Medicago truncatula: one gene and its partners. Each later gene encodes a partner of the first gene's protein in a complex. Links are inferred from orthologs where the notes say so. Each region holds a gene or a part of one and is shown on either strand. Other genes may lie near its edges. The genes, in order: THO complex subunit 1, THO complex subunit 3 and THO complex subunit 5A.

Region 1 (7,549 bases):
GTATTGCATTACTTCCTCCCCACACTGTACTGCTGCCGACTGAACCAGAGTGTGAACATATTAATACAGGCCATAAAGAGACATAAACAATGAAACAAGAAAACAAAGAGGGGAAAAGAAACAGCATTAGATAAGTTTATATTTGAAATGGTTTTTCTGAAAATGCTTTTCTTAGTTTACAGTTTACTTTATACAAGTCATCTAAGCATCTTGAAAACACTGCTTACTTTACCATTTGATAAACTATACACTACATGTGAATTCAAAATAAATAAAAGAGTAAAAAGAAAACACTTAAAAATATGCAAGTCAATGGTAAGTAAATACATGCACTAGCAAGAAAACAAACTGAATGTGTCATAAAAAACATGCATCCCAGATGAAAAACATGTCTAACTTTACTGAGAAAGAAAATAAGCATTGAAATTTGAATGCCAAAATAGTTAAACTGACATTAAAGTATAGTAACAAGGAAACTGCTTTACTAATGAGTAATGATTGCATTGTTCCCAAAGTAAAGGGTATAACCAAATAAGTATCATTCCATAACCACTGTATTAGCATAAGAAAATCTATAAGGTCGGTATTATGCATCAAACTGTACTTGCAGTGAGTACAATACTGAAACTAGGGTTTAGTATCTAATTAGGTCATGCCTTGAGAATGGTCTCAAGGGGATTATTATAGCCTAATTAGGCCTCTTATTCCGTGACTTAATCCCTAAGTCACACGAGATAAGGAGAAACACGTGTATCCCCCTAAATCCGGATATTCTGGCCGAATATTTGGCCTAGAGGTTCGGGCATGATGGTTTCGGGGGATAAGGAAAGGGACGCGACCTTACGCAGGCGTAGGCGGCATCCATGTATAGGGACAGTGGGTCCTTACGTGAATATTGGTGGTCCAAAAGCCATTCTTCTATGTGATTAGTAAAATATAGTGTCTAAATATCTCTCACATCTCCTAAGAACTCTCGTGTTCTTTAACATAGAATTATAGCAATACTGTCTACCTTTAAACTAAGAATTTGGCTCATGACCAAATCTTTAACAGAAAAAATAAAATAAATTTAGTATCATAATCATGCATAATAGACACACCAAAGAAAAGAAAAAAAGATAAAACACTATTGGATTTTTCCAAAGAAATTTGTAGAAATCCAATTAGATTATCATTCTTTATTCGACTAGCACATAAGGTGTCATCTATGAGCAAGGGTAGCAGTTAAACATACCACGAATTCCTGAAGTAATAGCCGTAGAATGTTTTCTAGGGATTGGTTCTCATCTTGGGCCAATTTTGTTTGTCTCTGTTAATCATAAATCAATTAAATTAACCACAACCTTTAACAATGTCATTATCAAAGTTACTAGAAAAGGAACCTCGGGACATGAATCATGAATGAACAATTTAAGTCAAAAGACAACCATGTTATATTTTTCATAAGTTATAGATATCCCATAATCAAAACCCTTTTGAAATTTAAGAGTCTCTCGCCTTTTTCCTTACTGTTCCCTAAATGCAAATCTCTTTATTTTGTAAAATCCAGAATATCATCCCATCCCAAAGAAAATCGAAAATAAGCCATCAGAATGATATGCATGATCAAGGGCGTGTTTGGATTGCCTTATTTGAGTTTATCTACTGGCATAAACAATTGTTAGACTGTTTGGCAGAGCTTATAGAAACAACTTATTACATGTTTTGAAATAAAAAGAGAGAAGAAGAAGGTTGTCCCAAAAGTTGTCGCAAAATAGGTGTACACATGTCATTACTCGTTTGGAAATTAGTTCAGCATTGTTCAATGTTCATTATAAATTTGTACTAGGACTCTACAGGAATGGAGTTAGAGGCAGTTTTGATAAACTTCTCCATCAACACTTACAAGCTTATATGAAAAAATTTGTAAGCAATGAATTTTAATGGGGAATCTTCAATGAACTAGAGGCTAATCCAAACTGGCTCAAAAGAATTTCAAAATATACCTGAGGCTGTATTACTTCTTGAACAGTCTGCAAAGCAAAACTTTCAGGTGGCCCCGGTTGTAATATGGCCCTTTTAAATACCTCCTGCAAATAACAATAAACCAAACAAAACAACACAACCAATGAATTCAACAATCGAATAATGCGCAAAAAGCATTATCTAGGGCCTCTTTGTTTTGACTTGTTTGAGTTTATCTACTGGCATAAGTAATTGTGAGAATGTTTGAGAGAACTTATGAAAACAGCTTATGACGTGTATGTTGTTTTAAGCAGCTCTGAAGGATGACGCAGTGTATATTTGGTTCCACTTTTGGAGGAGACAAAATTGGTTATAGAGGTGTAGAATTGATTTTGACATGTTTGGTTCCTCTTAAAGTATAATAGATTCTACTTGAATCTAGAAATTGTAGCTTCTGATTCTAGAATTAATTTTTACACTCAAATTTGTTGCTGAACTCACTTTTACATCAATGTATCCAAGCATAAATCACTTTACATTCAACTCAATTTTAGCCAGAATCAATTCATTGGCAAAATCAAACATACACTTACAAAAACAGCTTATCGAAAACAATTCGACTTTTTTTTTACCTTTTGCCATAGAAATAACTTGTAATAAGCGCTTATAGATGATAAGTGTTTATACTATAAGCAGTAAATTAAGTTGTTTATCCAAACAGGACCCTATTTTGATACTATAAGCTTAAGCTCTAATAAACAAATAATCTACTTCCCTATATAAACCCAAAACCTATAACCAATCAATAAATAAACAATTAATTAAGCTATATAAACAAATGGGTATAAGGGATTATCCAAAAAATTGAAACTTTGTGCCAATGTTTTCACTGAAAATTGAATTGTGAAAAGGAACAAAAGAAAAAACGGAACTTACCATTATGGAGTTTGAATTGAACACAAACCCTTATTCAATGGAACCTCAAAGCGTTGAATAATGGTTAGAAGAATTGATTTTTTTTTTTTTTTTAAGAAATTGTGATTCTGTAGAGTTGAATTGAATTGGAACAAAGCAAGAAAGAAAGAGAGTGATTTGTTTTGAGAAAAACACTAAACACCAAAACGCTGCGTTTAACTGTATGTTGTTTTTTTGTCCTTAAAAAAACTGTATTGGGGCGTTTGTTTTTGGGAAACATAAATAACATATCCGAGAATGAAAATATGAAAATTTGATTCTTGGGTATTTGTTAAAAAAAGTGTTTGGCAGATAACTTGACATTCCTGGAAAAATTGGAAGTTACAATTTTTTTTTTAAAATCTATGCATAATATCATGGGAATGCACATTTCCATCTCTTTACATGGGAATAAATTCATGGGAATAATGGAAGTTATGGGAGGTTACTCCATTCTCAAGAACCTTTATACCTAGGAATATTTTTTTCTCAACCTCATAACAAACATGGGTATAATCATTCCCTAGCCATGTATTCTCGGAAATGTCATTCTTAACCTTGAAACAAACACCCCCTATGTTTTTATTTTGGTAGGGTGTGTATTTCTATTTCAAACAAAAAATTCCAACTACAAATATATACGTTCCTTCAAAAAAAAACTACAAATATATAGGTGTCTATAAAATATTTTTCTATCCTTCAAAAAATTTTATATTTATAAAAATTTAAATAATAAAAAAAATATCAAATAATATGTCAATCATATTCAACTTATTTTAAAAATATATATTGTCTGTAATTTAAAAAAGAGAAGTAAGTATTTCTCTCTTTTCCTCTCGTAAATTAGCAATTCAAATACACCCTAAAAGTTCTTGCTCCACACGGACCGCGAGTCGAAGCATATTTGTTTGTATGTCATTTATTCATTTATTTTGTATTAAACGATGCTTAAGCCAAAAAAAAAAAAAAAAACTACATTAAAACTACCGTTGAAAACTTGACTAAAAAAAACTACCCTTGAAAAAATATTACAGCATAACTAAAAGAGGAGAAGCATCCGACAAAAGAGGAACCACACCTTTATGATCATCCGATAAAACCTTAGACGCCCTTGGAGGAGGGTGTTGAATACAAATTTGACAACTCCATCAAACTATTCCAAGTAATACAATAGTAAACTATCATCTCCACATGAATTGTTGTTTCGACTAGGCATTTTGCTAAACATATAATTAAATCAGTAAAATGAAGGGAGTTTTCAAGTTTTGTTTGATATGTGCAAAGCGGGTTGATTCGATTGCAAAAAAATTAAAAAAGTGTTGATTCATATTATTAAGAGCGATTAGGATCCTTCAAATCTCATTCACCTCTTTTGTTTGACTTAATGCAAAAATGTCTATCTATTATGAGCTAAAGATTATATAAAAGTGGTTAACTTCGTTTGACAGATCCCTCTAGATGTCACGTTGCTCCTCATCATCCTAAAGGTTATATGTGCACTATGATGAAGGATCGTCACTCCTCTAGGCTTCCATACACATTGATACTGTTATTAAAGTGAGGACTTACATTCTCGCAGGTAGGGATGGCAAAAAAATCTGCACCCACGGATATCCGCGGATAAAATCCGCCACGGGCACGGAGCGGATACCTTAATGGATATCCATGAATAAAATAAACAGATTTTTTAACTATCCGCTAATTAATGGATACAGATGCGGATTTAACGGTATCCATACCCGCGGATATTCATACCACTATTAAACAGAGTAAATTACATAAATAACCTTAATATCATTCAACTTCCTAAGAAAAAACCCTAAGTATTGTGTTTTTGTTGAATATGATGAGCTTTACTTATGCTTTTTTTAAATCAAATAACTTTATTTTTATTAAATATAAGGGACTTTATTTATGTTTTTGTTGAGTCAATGATCTTTGTTATTATTGTAGTGTATGAATATTATGTTTTGCTAAAAAGAAAAGAAATGATTTGTAATAAAAGACTCAAACCACCTATGAAATTATCTAGTTTAGACTTTAGGGAAGAAACATAATTATATGGCTCAATTGAAAACGATACAAAATGTCTCTTAAACCATGAACAACTTCTCTAAAATCCTCTATAATGACTTAATTTTTTATCTACTAAACTAACTCAAAATTATACTAAAAATAACGTTGCATGACCTGTCATCATAACCTCAAACTTAAATTATCGCTTGTACTTGATCATATTTATTTCAAGTACATTACCGATTCCAAATCCAATTGTTGCTGCTGTTCTATTTCTTCCTGTTGCTGCGGTTTACGAGTGACTATTGCCGTGCCTTCCTTCTTTTCATTTTAGAGTAGCCATCACTAACAGGTTTTGTCCACTTTGCTCATATTGATTCACGTTTTGTTTCTTTGAATTCTCTGTTTCAATGATGATCAATGGGATGAATAAAAGTCTATTTATTATAATTACTATGTCTTGAGTATATTTTTATAGAGTTCGGTATAGGATGAACGTCCTATCTATGTTAAGTTGTATGATTAGAAATTGTAAGAGAAATTATATTTAAGTCTAAATTTTTTTATTTTTAACATTGAATTTTAACATTGAAAATTGGAATAATGTGATACTCATTTCATCTTGAAAGAGTGAAACATGTATCGTAGAAGATTTAGGAATTGATTTTAAAATACAGTCAGAGCATTTTCTTTAATTAATTTAGAAATTACTAATTTTCAAAAGTCATTTTAAACTTGTAGCTGGACACGCGAAAGCGAGCTTCTGTGAGTTTTAAAATATGGTTTCAGCTATGCGAAAGTAAACAGAACCTTTAAATTAAATTTCTACTAAAAATAACTTTTCACGCAAAAATTGATTATTTTTCAAACTAAATTTTAAAGTTGTAATGCGTACGCGCGAAAGAGGTCAAATAGATTACGAAGTCGAAATTCGGTGTCGCACACGCAAAAGTGTAGCAGCCTCTTTAATTTAATCCTTTTAAGCACGAAAATATTTTCCTGTTACAATAATAAAATATAACTTAACAAGTATTCGCGATCGACACAAATTATATTCTTGTCTCTTGTCATAAAAATAATTAAAAACAAGTTAATTTTCTAATTTCGCAATCAAACTAATTAGCACTACCTTAGATAAACAACATGACAATAGATAACGATACTTTTTTTTTTCTTTTGACCAACAATAGATAATGGTACTTCAAGTATTGTGGGATTCGAAATCTTTTATATTAAAATCGATATTTCTATGCACTTGCTGACCTATCACATGAATTTGGTTATTAATAAATTTTGTCGTTAAAAAAAAAAAAAAAATTAACTTGTCAAGAGAAATACATTAAAGATCTTCTTAGAAAAAATTATTTCTAAAAATATGAAGCAATGATTGGATATCTGTTGTACTTAACTGATAATAGACCAGATAGTCTAGTTGGTACTACTAATCTTAGTCTTTGAAATAGTAAAAGTTCTTGTTTTGATTTAATAGTTTACTGCAACATTGACTATACTGAACATGTCAGTTTCTCGAAAATGCACTTGGTGATACGAAAAGCAAAATATTATTACTTTGTTAACTGCTGAACTGAAGCTGAAAGAGAGAAGTAGAGAACAACGACTACTCAACACAACATATCACTAAAATTCCATCCATGCACTTTATTTTATTTTTGACAAGATTAATAAGTTGTTTTTTTGGGGTGGTTGATATATTGTTATGAGCTATCAAAGTTTGAACTATAAATTTCTCACTTATTTACTTTTGATGTTGAATTTTAATCATGAAACCAACAAAACAGTTAAAAATGATAAAGGCTAAAATGCATTTTTTGCTCCCTAAGTTTCAAAATGTTGCGATTTTGACCCCTATTAAAAAAATGGCAAAAGTGACCCCATGTTTAGGGAAATATGCTCTTTTGACCCCTAACATAAGGGAAATATGCTTTTTGACCCTTTATCTTTACAAAAAGTTGCGAATATGACCCCTTTTTTGGGACACGTGGTGTCTTCTCAGCAATTTTAGGATGAAAAAGGCTGAAATTTTTTTTTTTTTTTAATAGGAGGCCAAAATCGTAACATTTTAAAATTTAAGAGGCGAAAAGTGCAGTTTAGCCAATTATAAATTGTCAATGTACCTTTGTAAATTAATACACATACAAACTGTTTCAGATGTGGTTAAATGAAAATGAATTTGAGTAAACGGCATGTTAGGGTTAGAGTTTGTTAGTTACAAATCAAAATAAAAGTTTGTTTAGTTTTTTTATGAAAAAAACACTTTTAAAAAAAAATCTAAAAACAACTTCAAATTAGAAGTTGTTAAGAGTAACTTCTAAAAAGAGAGAAAATATGAGTCAAAAGATTGAACTAATTATTTTGTAACAAAAAATCACTTTTATATAGTTGTTTCCAAACAAACTTTATAAAAAAAACTAGAATCTATTTTGCGATGTTTATTGTAACGCCCTAGTTATTTATTTAATTATTTTATTATGTGGAGTATGTATATATATTATTATATATGATGTTTGGTGGTTTACGTGGAGTATATGCATATATTTGTATATATGTGATTGTTGGATGTTTTATGTGGTGTATTAATTTAGTATATGGTTTATTTAATAATAATTAAAATAAG
Region 2 (7,188 bases), about 24 Mb from region 1:
GAATTGTACTCAGTTTTACTTAATTTCCATCATAATTCAATGGCATTCCTCCTCTGCCTCTCAATTTACTGTGAAGCAGGAACAAGACTATTTACGGTGACAATGCCAAAGAACATGTACAGTCAAATGTGACTGTATACTTAAATCAGTGATAAGCTACATATAATTGGTAATTTGTACTCGTCTCTGTCTAGGGTGAATCCTTATAACTTGCACTGACGTGGCTGTAAGTAAAGACGATGTTCTTTCACTTCTTTCTAGGTTTAACAGATGATCAGGTTTCAAGGCATGAAAATTGTAATTCAAACAAAACAGACATGCAAATTCATGGTCGATTCTAATGATTTGACACCAGGGCACTTAGTTATGCCAGTTGACAAGCAAATTTCTATCAATTAAAAGGGATATAACTATAAGTAATTCACATTTCACAATCCAACAATTAAGCCCTTTCTCAAACTGTAAAATTTCAACGAAGATAGCTGGATATTCACGAGTTACTTTATCAATTAAACTGAAAAAGAAAGCACATTCATATTTTCTGTAAAATGATAAGGATGTGGTAAAAAGACTGGTTGCTCATAATTTTCAAGGTTTAGTGTCTGCTACGACAGAAGAGAACGGGAAATTAGTTAGGGCTAACCAGAGCAGTAAGCTAGTAAGTTAGGGGGAATTTGTTAGCAGTGTTGGCATTTAGTACACAGAGCACATGATTCTCATCACTGAGAATTGTTAGTATTGAGTAAATAAAGCAGTGGCTCAGTTGTAAGGGGAATAAGCCTTAAGTGAAGATTCTTTCTCCTATTTTCAATATTTCATTAAAATTATTTATTTTTTCTGGTTGTCTCTACTCTACCAATTTCACATTTTGCTTGTATAGGTTTTTAACAATTTCATTTTGTAACCTCCAAATATGTCTGAAAAAACTGTCAAAAAACAGAACAGACTGCAACAATGAAGCAAAAACTATGCAATACCTCATAGTTGAACTTGCGCCTGTGCATTGGTTTGAATTTCCGAACATCAAGTATTGTTAACTCGTCGTCCTATAAAAAAAACAAAGAAAAAGTAAGATTTCACATGATGAAAAACAGCAAGATAATAATAGGTACAGACATGGTCTATTTAGCAGCTACAATACAAAGCTCGATGATTCCAAAAAGAATCGACTCAAAAACATATGCTACATGAGTACCCTAATAGGTACAGACATGGTCAGAAAATCTTCACTTCCGAGCTTTAAGCAAATGAAGAGATTGTGTAACATACCCTATTACCCACAGCTACATGAGTACCATCAGGTTTGTAGGTGATGTTGATATTCTCCCCACTAAGCTCTGCCTGTTGTGAGCATTTTCCACCTGCAGAAATCAAATATGAGGGGCATCTCAATATTCATTAATGTTTATTCGGCAATAACAGTAGATTATATTAAACGTCTCCCAAAATATAAAAGCTCATAATAATTATCCTCCCTTCTGTATGATTAATTTAAAATAAATTGTATAGCTAAATATGATCACTTACTACGAGCATCCCATAGACGAACAGTTTTGTCCCCTGAAGCAGTTGCAATAAGATCGGGATGTTTGGGGTCCCAACATAGCTGGTCCACACTATCAGTGTGACCCTTCAATTCAATATCTTTAACCTTACCCTATAATAACCCCCACACACCCAAAATGGAACAATCAAATTTGAATCCAGAAATAACAAAAATAAAATAATTTACAGTGACATATAAGTAGCAACCAAAACTGAAATAGAATCTCATCGCAAAATGCTTCGTTTGTAAAGATGCTCGTGGAAAAGTTAACAGCCAGCCTTAGTTTACTCTATAGCTTCAAGTTTCAACAACAATTTCCTATCTTATCATACATAATTCGCCATGTATTTCTTGATTTAATGCGACAAGTTTCAATCTTAATGGAAAAATACTCTAACATTACTGTCATTTTAGGTCATGAAGGTCACCAAAGCAACTACATCATATGTTAAAAAGACATATGTTCTCAAAGACAAATCCTCTTAGGTCATGTAATCTCATTCATCAAAAGTGAAAATGGGCATTACTTAAAATTCATCAAAGTTTCCTACAGTAATTTCAAAAGGGCAGATCTTAAATTATACTATACCATTACTTAAGGGAAACTTGAATAGTCAAATCTTTTACAAACAGCAAAGCTACTGTATTTCTTTACGACAGCATTACAATATAGCTAAGATGTGTATTCACAGTGCGCTAGGTAAGCAACTTAATTAAGCACTTATTCAAGATCTACTACTCTAGGGAGCTTAATCAAACTTTATATTCATAAGTCATTATGGGAATCTAATGAAATAAACTGGAAACAACTTATAGACATGATATTGAATATTTTCATGATTCTATCCAAAATTCAAATACTAATAATATAAATATTTGTCTCATAAGATAAATCCAAATAATAAGACTAGCACAGGCCTAAAATTAAACAGTGACTAATATTGTGATTTATGAGAAAGTACATTAATTAATAGAAAATTAAAGTGCAATTAGGAGTAAGGTTACTACATGGGCATGTGGGTCAATATGCCAAATTCGAGCAGTTTGATCAACAGAACCAGAAGCAAGTTTTGTGCCAATGCAATTCCAAGCCACTGAATGCACCTTTTCAAACACAAACAAAGACCCGCTTCAGAATTGAAACATAAACATTGAAAAGAGGGTTTTTTCCAACATAAACCTAGATATTAAACCTTAACAAGTAGGAAAAAATCAGAAGTTTGAAGGTGTTTGGAATGAGAGAGGAAAAGGGTACCTTCTTCTTGTGACCGGAATACTCTCTGCTGTGAAGATTCTTAAATGAGAATTGTTCCTCCATGGCTTTGGAAGCACTTTTACGAGACACGGAAACTGTGATTGTCGTACGGATTCGTGGGTGGAATCGAAGCTAGGAATTTTGGGAAACACTTTTGATTCCCGCTACGACACTATTGGTTTTTCGTTTCATATCCAAACAAGAGGATGCTAGCCTATTCTTGGTTTTCGTTGAAAAAACTTGTAGTGGTATTAGGTATTTCCCATTATATTATAGGCCAAATACCTACTTTAATTTTATTTTTTTTTGGCTTTTGCACCGGTTTCCGACCCACCAATGGTGAGCGACTAATCTGACTCATGCGTAGAGGCATGTGCACTGGTCAAGCGTTGTTTCCCTGAAAATCGAACCCGGATACGTTCTTGAAAGGAGTTCCTTGCCATTAGAGTCCAAACAACTTGGTTGGCCAAAATACCTACTTACGTTATACAAGATTAATCCTTTTTAGTTTTTTTAGTTTTAAATTTGTCTTAGTAAAAGTTAATTTGATGATATGAAGTTGTCTTGACATAGTTGTTTTAATGATGTGTCTTGGGTTAATTTGATGATGTCTTTAATAATTGGTGGCTTGTTATTTAGCATGTTGTTCCTTTGATAGTTTAGCTTAGATTATGTTAAAGCACCCAAGCAACATGTGTATCTTTGTATTGTGTGATTCCTTGTGTTCTAGTTAGCTTATGAGTTATGACTAGGTAAATCTCATTTTTACCGTCAAAATTGAAGTTTATGTTGTCTGAATCGATTCATTTATGTTTGAATCGTATCACCTAAAGTCTCTGACTTGGGGTGAATCGTTTCATGATATTTTGAATCGAGTCAAATTTGCCTGAATTGTATCACCAAAACTTTATGACTTATATTGAATCGATTTAGTATAATTTGAATCGTTTCAATCTTCAGGGCACTTTGAATCGATTCAAATTATGTTTGAATCATATCAATTATCATAGTTCATTTGGTGTGTCCTCTTGTTGTCTGAATCGATTCACTATGTTGTTTTTTGCCGAAATTTTGCACTTGTCATCCCATTCTATATATATTCACTTCCTCATAACACCCAAGGTATTGAATCATTTGCATTTATTCTCTCTAGGTCTCAAAAACTCATTGTTCATAAATTCTTCAAGATTAAACACTTTTTCTTAGAATCACTTTGTTCTTTGAGTCATATGATTTTCTAGGGATAGAGATTGTAAGTTGGTTCTTTCAAGAAAATTGATTGGGCTTAATCAAGGTTCTAAAGTGAGGTGAATAATCTCATTCCACCTCCAAAGGTCTTGAGGGTTCTTTCTAATTGTTCTTGTGTTCAAGGGGATCCATTTGTCGGACGTAGCATCGAAGAGCTTGAGTGAAGAGCTTGAAGGATTGCACGGGTATCTGAGGATTCAAAGACATCAAGAAGCACCAAATTCAAAGGGTATTTGAAGTTTGAGGGAGTGGTTACATAGGGGTTGAAGAACCAGGATAGTTTTAAGGAACTCTTGTAATCACATTTGTAATTCAACATTGTTACTATTAGTGGAAGTCCTTGGTGGAAGTGTTTTTCATCAAGAAGTGTAGACGTAGCCCGAAACGAGGACGAAAGGGCGAACTACTATAAAAATCTCGGTGTTGTTCTATTTTCCTTATCCTCTTTAATTTTGATAATTGTATATGCTTAAATTGATAGGATAGAAATTGATTTTGATCTAAGTTCCTTTTTGGTTAAAATTGGCCTAATTCCTCGAGTTATGTTTTTACTATTTCACTTGGATCAATTAGTTTCAATTCTCAGCAATTCATCAATTGCATATACATTGTGTTTTTAATGTTTAGCTTGTTATATTTTCTTATAGGTTTGATTGTGCAATTGTCTTGTTTTGCAAATTGTTCAAGTATTATTAATAATTGATTGAAATAAGATTTAGCTTATGAATCTCTCAATTCTATTGCAAATCTTATTAGTGCATGGTCTTAACAATTTGTCAAAGTTTGTGATTGTTCAAAGCATATTTCTAATAAGTCAATATCTTTCAAAACGCTTTCGCCAAAACTCCGTAAACTTTTTAAATCGCTATTCACCCCCTCTAGCGCGCATCTTTATTGGCCATATAGACCAACACCCAATACTTGGTGACCTTCTATATGTATGTTTTAAATTTGAATTTCTCTCTTTCTAACCATTGATACAACCCTAATCTGTATGAGGTTCTTAAGTTAATAAACTTTATATATATAGACACACTCATGTCATAAACTCCTTTGTCATCCTCGTTCCATCCTGCGAACAATAACATAACATATCACAATTGGATTATTCCTCAATTCCATCATCCCTTCTTTAAAACTAATTCAACATAAACTATAAATCATTAATTCTACCACCATACACCACATATTACGATAACTACACTCCTCTTCTTGTCTCTTCTCTCCACTTATGAGTCCACGTCACCAAATACTTAATTGAATTCGGCAACGATGTCGACGTTTAAGATTGTTGGAAAAACACTGTAATTCTTCTATTCCTCTATGTTTTTTTCTCTTTCAGCATGTTCACAACGGCGCCCACAATTGAAAGTTTTTTTCCTTTCTCTTATCATCAAAACTACATTTGGTGCTAATTTTATTTTTATTTCCTTGGTTATTTTTGGACAGTGAATCACAGGGATAATGTGGATGCATTGGTAAAAGGGGAATAAGGGGTTTATCAATGAAGGAAGCAATTACTAAAAAGAGGTTTATCGTTTGTTTCAAAATTTCTTAGTGTCATTTAATTTTCTTTAATTTTGAGCTCTCCCCTTATGTTTTTTCTTTTCCTTTAATTAGAATTATGTATAAACCAATTCTAATTAGTTTGTTTATTGTTGTTTATGCGTTATTAGATGTGCACCTATGCGATATTCAATATTTTTATTTGTTTTTTAATTAAAGATTTTCCTTTAGTAAAAAAAAATGTTTGCTATGTTGACGTGTTGGTTTCTTTTGTTCCGGTGAAGGCTTTTTCAATAAACAAAAATGTTCTTGGTCTCTAACATTCAATTGGAATTCCTCTCATAAACAAAAGGTTGAATATTTTAGGTTGTGTTTGGATGGTGAGAGGAAAGAAAGTAAAAGGATAGAATGATTAAGGAATGAAAGCGAATAGAACGTGAAAGGAAAGTAAGATGTTTTTTCGGTTGTTTGGAATAAGTGAAAGAGTGAAACGAAAGAAAGATGTATATTTAGTAAATGACATAAATACCCTTATATAAAGATGGTAATTCACATGCATATCAACATGTAGAAATATATGTTTATTTAATAAAATCAAATATAAAATTAGGTACTTTGAAGAAGAACTATGACTGCACGTTAATTGCACAAAGCACATTTGCCATTTTTAGAAAAATAATGGTGTATATATTAGAAAAATTAACATGGGACTATAGATGATAAAATAAGGGCTATACTGTCTTTTCAGTCTAAAAATTTGTTCACTCCCACTTTCTTCACAAATTTGAGCGGAAAGAATATTTTTGTGGGGCCCATATTTCAGTTTCTTTCCTTTGTCATATGTTCCTTTGTTCCAAACAAGGGAAACTCTTTTTTTCCCTCAACTTTCCCACCCCCTCACTATCTTTCCTTAGAAACAAACACCCCCTTGATTTATATTGGATATGTGTTAAAATATTGATGCTAATTTTTATTTTAGTTTGGGATGCTTTGATATAGTTCCTATTAAGCTCAGTGTTTAGCTTCTATTTTAACTACTTCATTGATTTATTACATATTATATCCCAAGAATTTAGACTGACTTCAATTGGACGATACAAGGCTCATTCCATATCAATCTAGGACTATAATTATTCTTGGTTTTTCTATGCTTAATTGATATAATTTTGTCTATGTTAGTAATTATTATAATTACATAGAAGAAAGTGTTGTTTGGTTTATGATTTATTTATTTGTTGAACTCATTTCGATCATCACAATGACAAATCAATATGTATATATGCATGCTACTTTTTATACATATGAATTTGAGAAGTAGTTAGGCAATTTGTCAATCTACTAATAATTTAGTTGGAGCATTTGATTGCTTTCACACTCTTTCATTCATTTCAAGTAACTAAGAAGTGTATGATGGGAATGTTTGATTATTTTTTACAATTTAATAAGTTATGTAGCTCTTTTAATTTTTTTAAAATTTTGATTTAGTCTTTATTTTAAGCTTATGGAGGAGCAAATCATTTGCACATTGATTGCCTGCATCTTTGAATAAATTATATAGCTCACTTTCATTTGTAGGAGAACTAGAGGAGATGCAGAGCCCTGTTTGTTTCAAACTTACAATTCTGTCAATTGG
Region 3 (7,712 bases), about 46 Mb from region 1:
TTTCTTCATCCTTTTACCTGCTCATGTATGTATTGATTCCTCTAATGATTAGGTTATTTGTAAACACCATTATGAGTAGCTAAATCCATTAGAGGTTAGGTCTGAGAATATCTTTGTAACCCTAATTGAAACATGTTGCTGTGAAACTCTATTTATTGTGAATGACAATCTAGTTTTTATTCAATTCAATTGTTCTTAATGCTTTTTATATATAAACATGATTTAGTGAGAACGAATGACTACTGACCCTAGCTTTCAACTTAGACCTAATTGAATTGTTCTAATAAACATGGTTGGTCTAGAAATGGATAATCCTTTATTAGTGATATTAGGTTAACGTGCTTAAACCTTCAAAGGTTATTAGAACACCTAAGGAATTAGGGGCTGTAACCCTAGAAGAGGGTCCCAACTCAAGGGATTGATTAGGACTATTTTGCTAACTATCGTGAACTAGAAAAGCATTCACAAGAATAGGTGCAGTATACCAATTAGGGGAACATAGATGATTCGAAAGACCTAAACTCATCTCTCTCCTATTCTTAAAATCAATCTTTACTTTTTGTCGTTACTTTTATGCAAACAAAATAACTTCTATACATCCTAACTTACAACGTAATTGAATTATTGAGATTAAAACCAGTCCTTGTGGGAACGATATTTTTACTACTTCGATAGTATTTGGTACACTTGCCAAACGTCTATCACCCCACATGAAACAAATGCCGTGAATCTATTTAAATTTCAAGAAGGGGAACTTGAGCATTACTGATTTACAATGAGACGATGAAGTAATTTGACAAGGGTTTCTTAATTTCAAAGCAGACTTTCCCACATATGGAAAATAGGTTTAGAGATTTAAGGTCCGGTACTCCTACAAACACAATCACGCATATGAGAGATGTGGGATTAAGATTATGTGTGGAAATTTTTTGTTGTTCTCATTTTAATTTGTAACAAATATGGACCACAGATTTGATCTAATTGTATTTTTTAACTGGTTCACCGGCGAGGGACTTAATAGAGCCCTCAGTTTAGAATCCACCGTTTATATAAATATAATCCGGTGTCAGAATATACACTGCCAGCAGCAATAGAACTATATAGTATATCCAAAGAATGTTAAAATTCATGTATCAGCTATAACTTACCAGTGTCCTTGTTGGCTTGACTGCGAGCAAAAGCTTGAGCATCTTTCAGGCTTCCTACAATCTCCAGATCAATAGGTTCTGCAAAGGCCTCTTTCTGAGCCAATAGCTGTGAGTAAATCACATAAAGAGCCGGTGGAAGCAACTCTGCTGAATGATGCTGCTTTAGTTTCTTTGTATGCGTAATTCCTAGCTGGTTTTGTACAGGCAAGGATGCTTTCTTAAGAGACTTAAGATGTGAAGGGAGACTTGTCAGGAACTTCTTTCGGTTCGCAATAGTCTCCAAAAGGATTTTCTTTTGCAGTTCCAGTTTTGCATGATGTTTGCAGAGCTCTTTACGCTGGTACAAATTTGCATATAAGAAGAATTGTAAGGATATTTAATGCAATTTGCATGAAAACTTAGAAATCAGATTATCAATACAACTCTAAAAGATGAATGAATGAATGAAGGAGAGTAAGAAATTTTAAACTTCAAAATAGCACAACCAGCATACTTAAAGCCAAACCAACCTGATATAAAACCACATTCAGTTTGATCGACAGGTCACACAACACACACTTTTAACTTTAGAACAAAATATCAACTTATCAAGTAACATTGGATTGGATATAAATTTGTACATGTCTAGAAAAATATAGATTAACACAAGCCAACCCTGTATTTATCCTACAATCCTTTCCTAACACAATAGCAGGCTTATCAATACAAATCTTTTGGTGAGGACAAAAGCATGTTGTATAGAAATGCGATATAAACTTTTGCCAATATCACAAATATCACATTCTCTTTGAAATTTAAATACTATGGGCCTGCTTGGATTGGTTTATTTGAGCTTATCTGCTGGCATAAATTTTGAGAGACTGTTTGGGTGAGCTGATGAAAACAGCTTATGGCATTGTTCGTAAGTTATGTTCAGGTTATTTTCAAAAGTTCTCCAAGATAGCTTATGAAAACAGCTTATAGCTCATACAAAAATAATTTAACTATTTTATCTTTTGATATAGAAATTTCATATAGATAAGCACTTATTGCTAATCATGATAAGCACTTATGCTATAAGCTGCAAATAAGTTGTTTATCCAAACAGGACCTATGTACAATGCACATTCCTTCTAAGCTAATTACAAAATGCCAAAAATATTCAAGGTAATGTTTTGCAACAGAATATCTTATATTCACCTGATATAGCTCGAAATTGAGCCTCTTGAGCATCAAATTATGAGCACTATCTTTCGACAAAACCAAATCCTTTATATCTTTCGGAGCATCTCGGAAAAACTCTTCCTCAGGCACAAGTTCAATATCAGGATACTTCGATTTAAAATCTTTACAAGCCTTAATGGCTTTAAGATAATGACTTTTCTCGTACACCAAATTATGAAGCTGCAAAGTCGTAAAATCCACCGGCGCCTTCGCGCGTTCTGTCTGCATTTTAACCCGATCCTCCTCAATCAAAATCGAACGATTCGCCTATAAAATTGAGAAGAAAACAAAAATTAAAATCATCGAAACAGTAATTTTTTAGTTGAATTGTGAAATTGGATACACCCTAAGTACCTGACGAAGAGTGATGAAGTGAAGGAACATTTGAGTAACGAGATCACGAAGGAGTTGTTTAGGTTTAGCTTCTTTTTTGATGGAGAGGATATCGGAGATGATTGATTCAATGGAAGATTTACTGTTTTGAAGCAATTCGTAGGGTGATTCTTCGTCCGATTTGGAATCTTCTGAGGAATTGGGAAAGGCTTGTTCGTTTTGTTCTTCCATGGCGATTGAACCTTCTTCTATCTCACCGTCTTCCATTTTTTCTGTTCTTTTGTTCTCAGCTTGACCTAAAACCCTTTTCTTTCTTCTTCCCCTTCGAAGCAAAAATCAGCTTATACAAAAGCTTTGAATTCCGACAAAAAATAAAATAAAATTATGCAATAGGTATAGTACTCCAAAATAAATCAACAAAAATTGATGTAAGTTATTGGGTTAAATATATTTTTGATCCTTATAAATATATCAACTTTTCGTTTTAATCATTCTTAAATTTTCTTTCAACTTTTAATCCCAAAAAAATTTCATTTTCACTTTTGGTCCCACCTTTAAAGTAAACTCACATGTAAAATTCATATTTTTGAATAAAATTTTGCAGAAAAATTCATAATATTATAAAAATCTCTTCCAAAAAATTTAGAATTTTTTAACAAAAACATGAATTTAATATGAACTTTTATATTTTTTTATGGTTAAAAATTCATATTAAATTTATGTTTTGTTAAAAAATTCTTTTTTTCTTGGAAAGATTTTTACAATATTCTATACATTTCATTAAAAAAAAATACTAAAATTAACTTAAAAATATGGACCAAAAGTAGTGATTGAAAATTTTTATGGGGACTAAAAGTTGAAGGAAAATTTTAGAGGGACTAAAACGAAAAGTTGATATATTTATAGGGACAAAAAACATATTTAACCCTAAGTTAATTAACTGATCGAACCCTAGTGATTAATAAATTTCACTGCAAACGAATTGTTTCAAAGAGCTTGAATTTTGAATTCGATTTTCGGATAAAACAATCCTTATTCGGGTTATATTTATCTCACAGCAAAACTCTAATTACCATAGTCTCGTTTTGTGAGGGTTAACACAAATAATCAATGATTTAACTTTTATTTATATATAGGAAGAGATAGGATCAAATGACACCATGGTGTCAAAATTAGTTTGACACCAAATCTTATCCATTCATTTCATTTAATCCAAAGGCTTAAAACTATCACCAAATTAATTAACATACATCAAATATTCTCTATCACCTAATTAAGAAACATATTCATCATCATTAATTCATAATCAAACAATACCTTCTTTTTTTTGGTAGATTCAAACCCTTTTTATTTTCCCCTAATTTTTTTCTTTTGGCCATAAGCACAAACTCAAACTTTATAATTTTTATAAAATCATGATAAATCTTAATTCAGTTAAACATGAGACACAACGAGTCCTCTAAAAAAAATTAGACCTATGAGTGACAAAATAATCTAATTAGCATGAACAATTTCAAGAATCATTTGTCGAGCTTGTTGGTTTTTTTTAATACAATTTAATTAATTAGTAAAAAAAATATGAGTATATGAGATAAAGACAAAGAAATATCATTGATGGTGATGATGACGCAAACAACCATAGGTATATGAGTTCAACCATTCATTTTATAAAAAAGTTTAGAAAAAAAAGTTTGAGTATGATTATAGAAATCTGGGAAAATTTATAAATTTGGGGAAATAAAAAAGAGGAACAAATAAATTTGGGGAAATAAAAAAGAGAAACAAATAAATTTGGGAAAATAAAAATGGAATGTTTGATTATAAATTAATGATGATAGATATGTTTCTTAATTAGGTGATAGAGAGTATTTGGTGTATATTAATTAATTTGATGATAGTTTTAAACCTTTGGATTAAATGAAATGAATGGATGAGATTTGGTGTCAAACTAATTTTGACACCATGGTGTCATTTGATCCTAACCCTATATATATATCAAATGAGAGGACATTTTATAATGAGAGGGTGAGAGGAATTAATTTAGACCGTTAGATCAAAATCAACACCTCAGATTTAATTGTTCTTTCAAAAGGGTCATATACTGTAACCTATCTTTCCTCTTCTCCACTTCGTCTTCTCTCTTGCTCTCATTGACACCAGATGTAAGTCGAAAGACTTACACAAAATCTCAACCATTAGATCTAATTAATCTAATGGTTCAAATTATAGATGCTAGAATTACTTTTTTTAAGGGAAGATGCTACAATTACTGTGAGACGCTTTTCAATGTTTCCTCTTCCTTGAGCAATCCTTTCGGCCCTCCAAACTCCAATTGACAAAAACAAACGTATAACTTCTGATCCAAAACATTGAAATCCTATCAAATTAATTATGGTTTTGTTATGCATCGATTGTTGCTTTTCTTTTTTGTAGTTGTTTATTGTATGAATTAATATTTCTAGGAAGATTAGCCCTAAATTTACTTAAAGCGCTTGTGGCAAACAATCGGAATTTTGAAATAGACCAAGAAAGAGATTGGATCAGAGGAAGTGATATTTACAGCTTGATTGTCTTATTCCATCTCATTCATTAAAGGGTATATAAACCACAAATTGACATGAATTTAGTCTAAATATATGCATCAAAATCTCTAGCCGATTTGTTTGTGTCTAATGGAAGATCTAAAACGAGCACTTTGGAAAGAATGATTTCAACCCAAAAAAAAACAAAAATTACGGTTAGAGAAGAAGGAATGGATCCAAATTTCTGCTTCAAATTTGGGAAACTATGAAAGAAGAAGGAGGAGAGGCAATTGCATGTGTCTCACTTTTAATTTGACGAATATAAGTCGTTGGATTAGTATTTAATGGCTAAGATTTGATGTAAGTTGTTAGATTTATGCAACTGATGGCAATGGATCCTGACTCATATATATATATATATATATATATATATATATATATATATATATATATATAAAGAATTGTGCTAACAGATGGTTTAGGTTCATTAGTTAAGAAATTTTTTAAAATTACTCCCTCCGGTCTCAAATGTAAGCAACTAGACCACATACATCATTTATTGAATAAATTTAAAAAGTGAAAAGTTGCTTAGATTTGAGACCGGAGTGAGTAGCTCTTTTAATTCTTCAACTAAGGCTCCAAGAGCAGTTCTTAACATGCTTCAACTTAAATCAATTTGTTAGTTGGTGGGGGTTTAAATAGATAAGTAAAATTGTTTTTAATTCTTGACTTAACAATGTGGGACTTCATGCTTTAAAATTTTGAAGATAAAACCAAACATTCAGCATGCTTCAACTTATTACCAGATTATATAATATGCATATGTGAGTGGATTCTCTATGACAGATATGTGTTAGAGCCTGCTATAGAGTTCTTTGAGAAATTTTAAATTTATTCGCCATAATAATTCAATGACTTTGCGCAAGAAATAAGAATTCACATTCATGTGCATACATACACATGTTGGCAGCATTAAGTTTTTGCAGCAGGACGATATGTTTGTTTGGATTGATTTTAATTTTTTAATTGAACAATCCAATAATTCAATTTGGACACGTGATCGGGGTGAATTTAACGCAATTGATCCAGTAGCACTCAGGAAAGCAATTCTGATTTCTGGATTCGTGCGTAGAATAATAAAAATAAGAGAAAGAAATAAAAGGGGAAGCAAGATAAGGAACCAGGGGACCACTATTTCCCTCTTTTGTTTTCATGTTTTCACATAATTTTAAAAGGTATTATGGGAACACTAAAATTACCATTGGTTGTATGGATGAAACAACAATTAAATGATCACTTTCGTACTTAAAATTGTAAGAGTTTAGCAACTTAGTTTTAAAAATTATAAAATAGCAAAGTCAGTCCCATAAATAAAGAACTCCTAGGTTAGAAATTTAGGTTTTGTTTGCGAGTTCGGAAGGGAAAGGAAGGAAATGCTTGGAAAAAAAAAGGAAGGAGTGAGTGGAAGAAATAGAGGACATTGGAAGGAGGTGCTTTGGAGGCTTATTTTTCTTCAAATATATAAAACCCTTATCGTTTGGAAGAACTAAAAAATTGTATTAGAGGAGAGTTTTGGGGGGTTTGTGAGGATTTATATAAATTCTTCAAATTTAATATATGTTGTTATAATATTCTTAAAATTAAAAATATATTAATCATAAGTATTAATTTATCAGTCTCTAAAAAAATAATCTTTCAAAAAATATGAAAGATTTCTCAATTTTCCCCTGTATTTCTCTCCCCTCGATGTTTTTCCTTCCCCTCCCCTTCAAACTTCCAAACAAAACCTTAGTAGTGTTTCATCTTTAAATCTTGGTTTTAAATTACACAATTCATGTATTAGGACGATTCATTCATGGTTTCACTCTGACTTCATGTTGAATCAACATTAATTAACGGTGAAAATGATCTCTAAATTAGACGATTTTTAGTTTTGAAATAGAGTTTAAAAGGATCCAATAAATAAAGAAATCAATTTAGTCATTCCATCAAAATATATCTTTGATAAAACTCTAAAAAAAATTATGTAACACATACCTATTAAGTTGAATAGGATTTAATGTATCAACAAAAATATAAAATCATAAAACAAACTTATTTTAAAAAGTCTAAATTGAGTGATACCGTTCAATTTATTTTGAAGGGACTAAATTGAATACTAGTTCATAAATTTAAATGACTAAAGTAACTTACTCTTGCAATTTAAATGACTAAAAATGATGATTTACTCAATAAAATAACTCTTCAACTTTTTTATTAACTTTTTTTACAGTAATGAGGCAAAGGGAGTTGTTTGAGGTAGTTGCAGCTTTAAGAAGAAAGATGCTGAATGGGGGGAATGGGGAATTTCTGGCAACAACGAACTCGTGAGATAAGCATGACACTATAACGCAAACTACCAAATAGACCAATGCACATGCAGCAAATTAAGAGAGCAGCAAATTAAGAGAGCAGCAATAGACTCTGCTCTACCAAACTCACACTTGTTTTTAATAAGGGCTGCTAA

What was found.
Region 2: THO complex subunit 1 (region 1) and THO complex subunit 3 share a complex: the UniProt entries of both Arabidopsis thaliana proteins name them as parts of the THO complex. The link is inferred for Medicago truncatula from reciprocal best matches to the Arabidopsis thaliana genes THO1 and TEX1.
Region 3: THO complex subunit 1 (region 1) and THO complex subunit 5A share a complex: the UniProt entries of both Arabidopsis thaliana proteins name them as parts of the THO complex. The link is inferred for Medicago truncatula from reciprocal best matches to the Arabidopsis thaliana genes THO1 and THO5.

The regions. Positions count from the first base shown.
Region 1 is NC_053044.1:3,850,064-3,857,612, forward strand, and holds the start of THO complex subunit 1, read right to left. Parts: upstream 3,044-7,549; 5' UTR 2,884-3,043; coding exon 2,881-2,883; intron 2,070-2,880; coding exon 1,986-2,069; intron 1,310-1,985; coding exon 1,235-1,309; intron 40-1,234; coding exon 1-39. UniProt on the Arabidopsis thaliana protein: Acts as a component of the THO subcomplex of the TREX complex which is thought to couple mRNA transcription, processing and nuclear export. Contributes to the integrity of the endogenous trans-acting small interfering RNA (ta-siRNA) pathway.
Region 2 is NC_053044.1:27,732,700-27,739,887, forward strand, and holds the start of THO complex subunit 3, read right to left. Parts: upstream 3,039-7,188; 5' UTR 2,865-3,038; coding exon 2,802-2,864; intron 2,651-2,801; coding exon 2,555-2,650; intron 1,658-2,554; coding exon 1,528-1,657; intron 1,362-1,527; coding exon 1,270-1,361; intron 1,047-1,269; coding exon 978-1,046; intron 1-977. UniProt on the Arabidopsis thaliana protein: Acts as a component of the THO subcomplex of the TREX complex which is thought to couple mRNA transcription, processing and nuclear export. Contributes to the integrity of the endogenous trans-acting small interfering RNA (ta-siRNA) pathway.
Region 3 is NC_053044.1:50,337,419-50,345,130, forward strand, and holds the start of THO complex subunit 5A, read right to left. Parts: upstream 3,058-7,712; 5' UTR 2,952-3,057; coding exon 2,706-2,951; intron 2,619-2,705; coding exon 2,328-2,618; intron 1,486-2,327; coding exon 1,149-1,485; intron 1-1,148. UniProt on the Arabidopsis thaliana protein: Acts as a component of the THO subcomplex of the TREX complex which is thought to couple mRNA transcription, processing and nuclear export.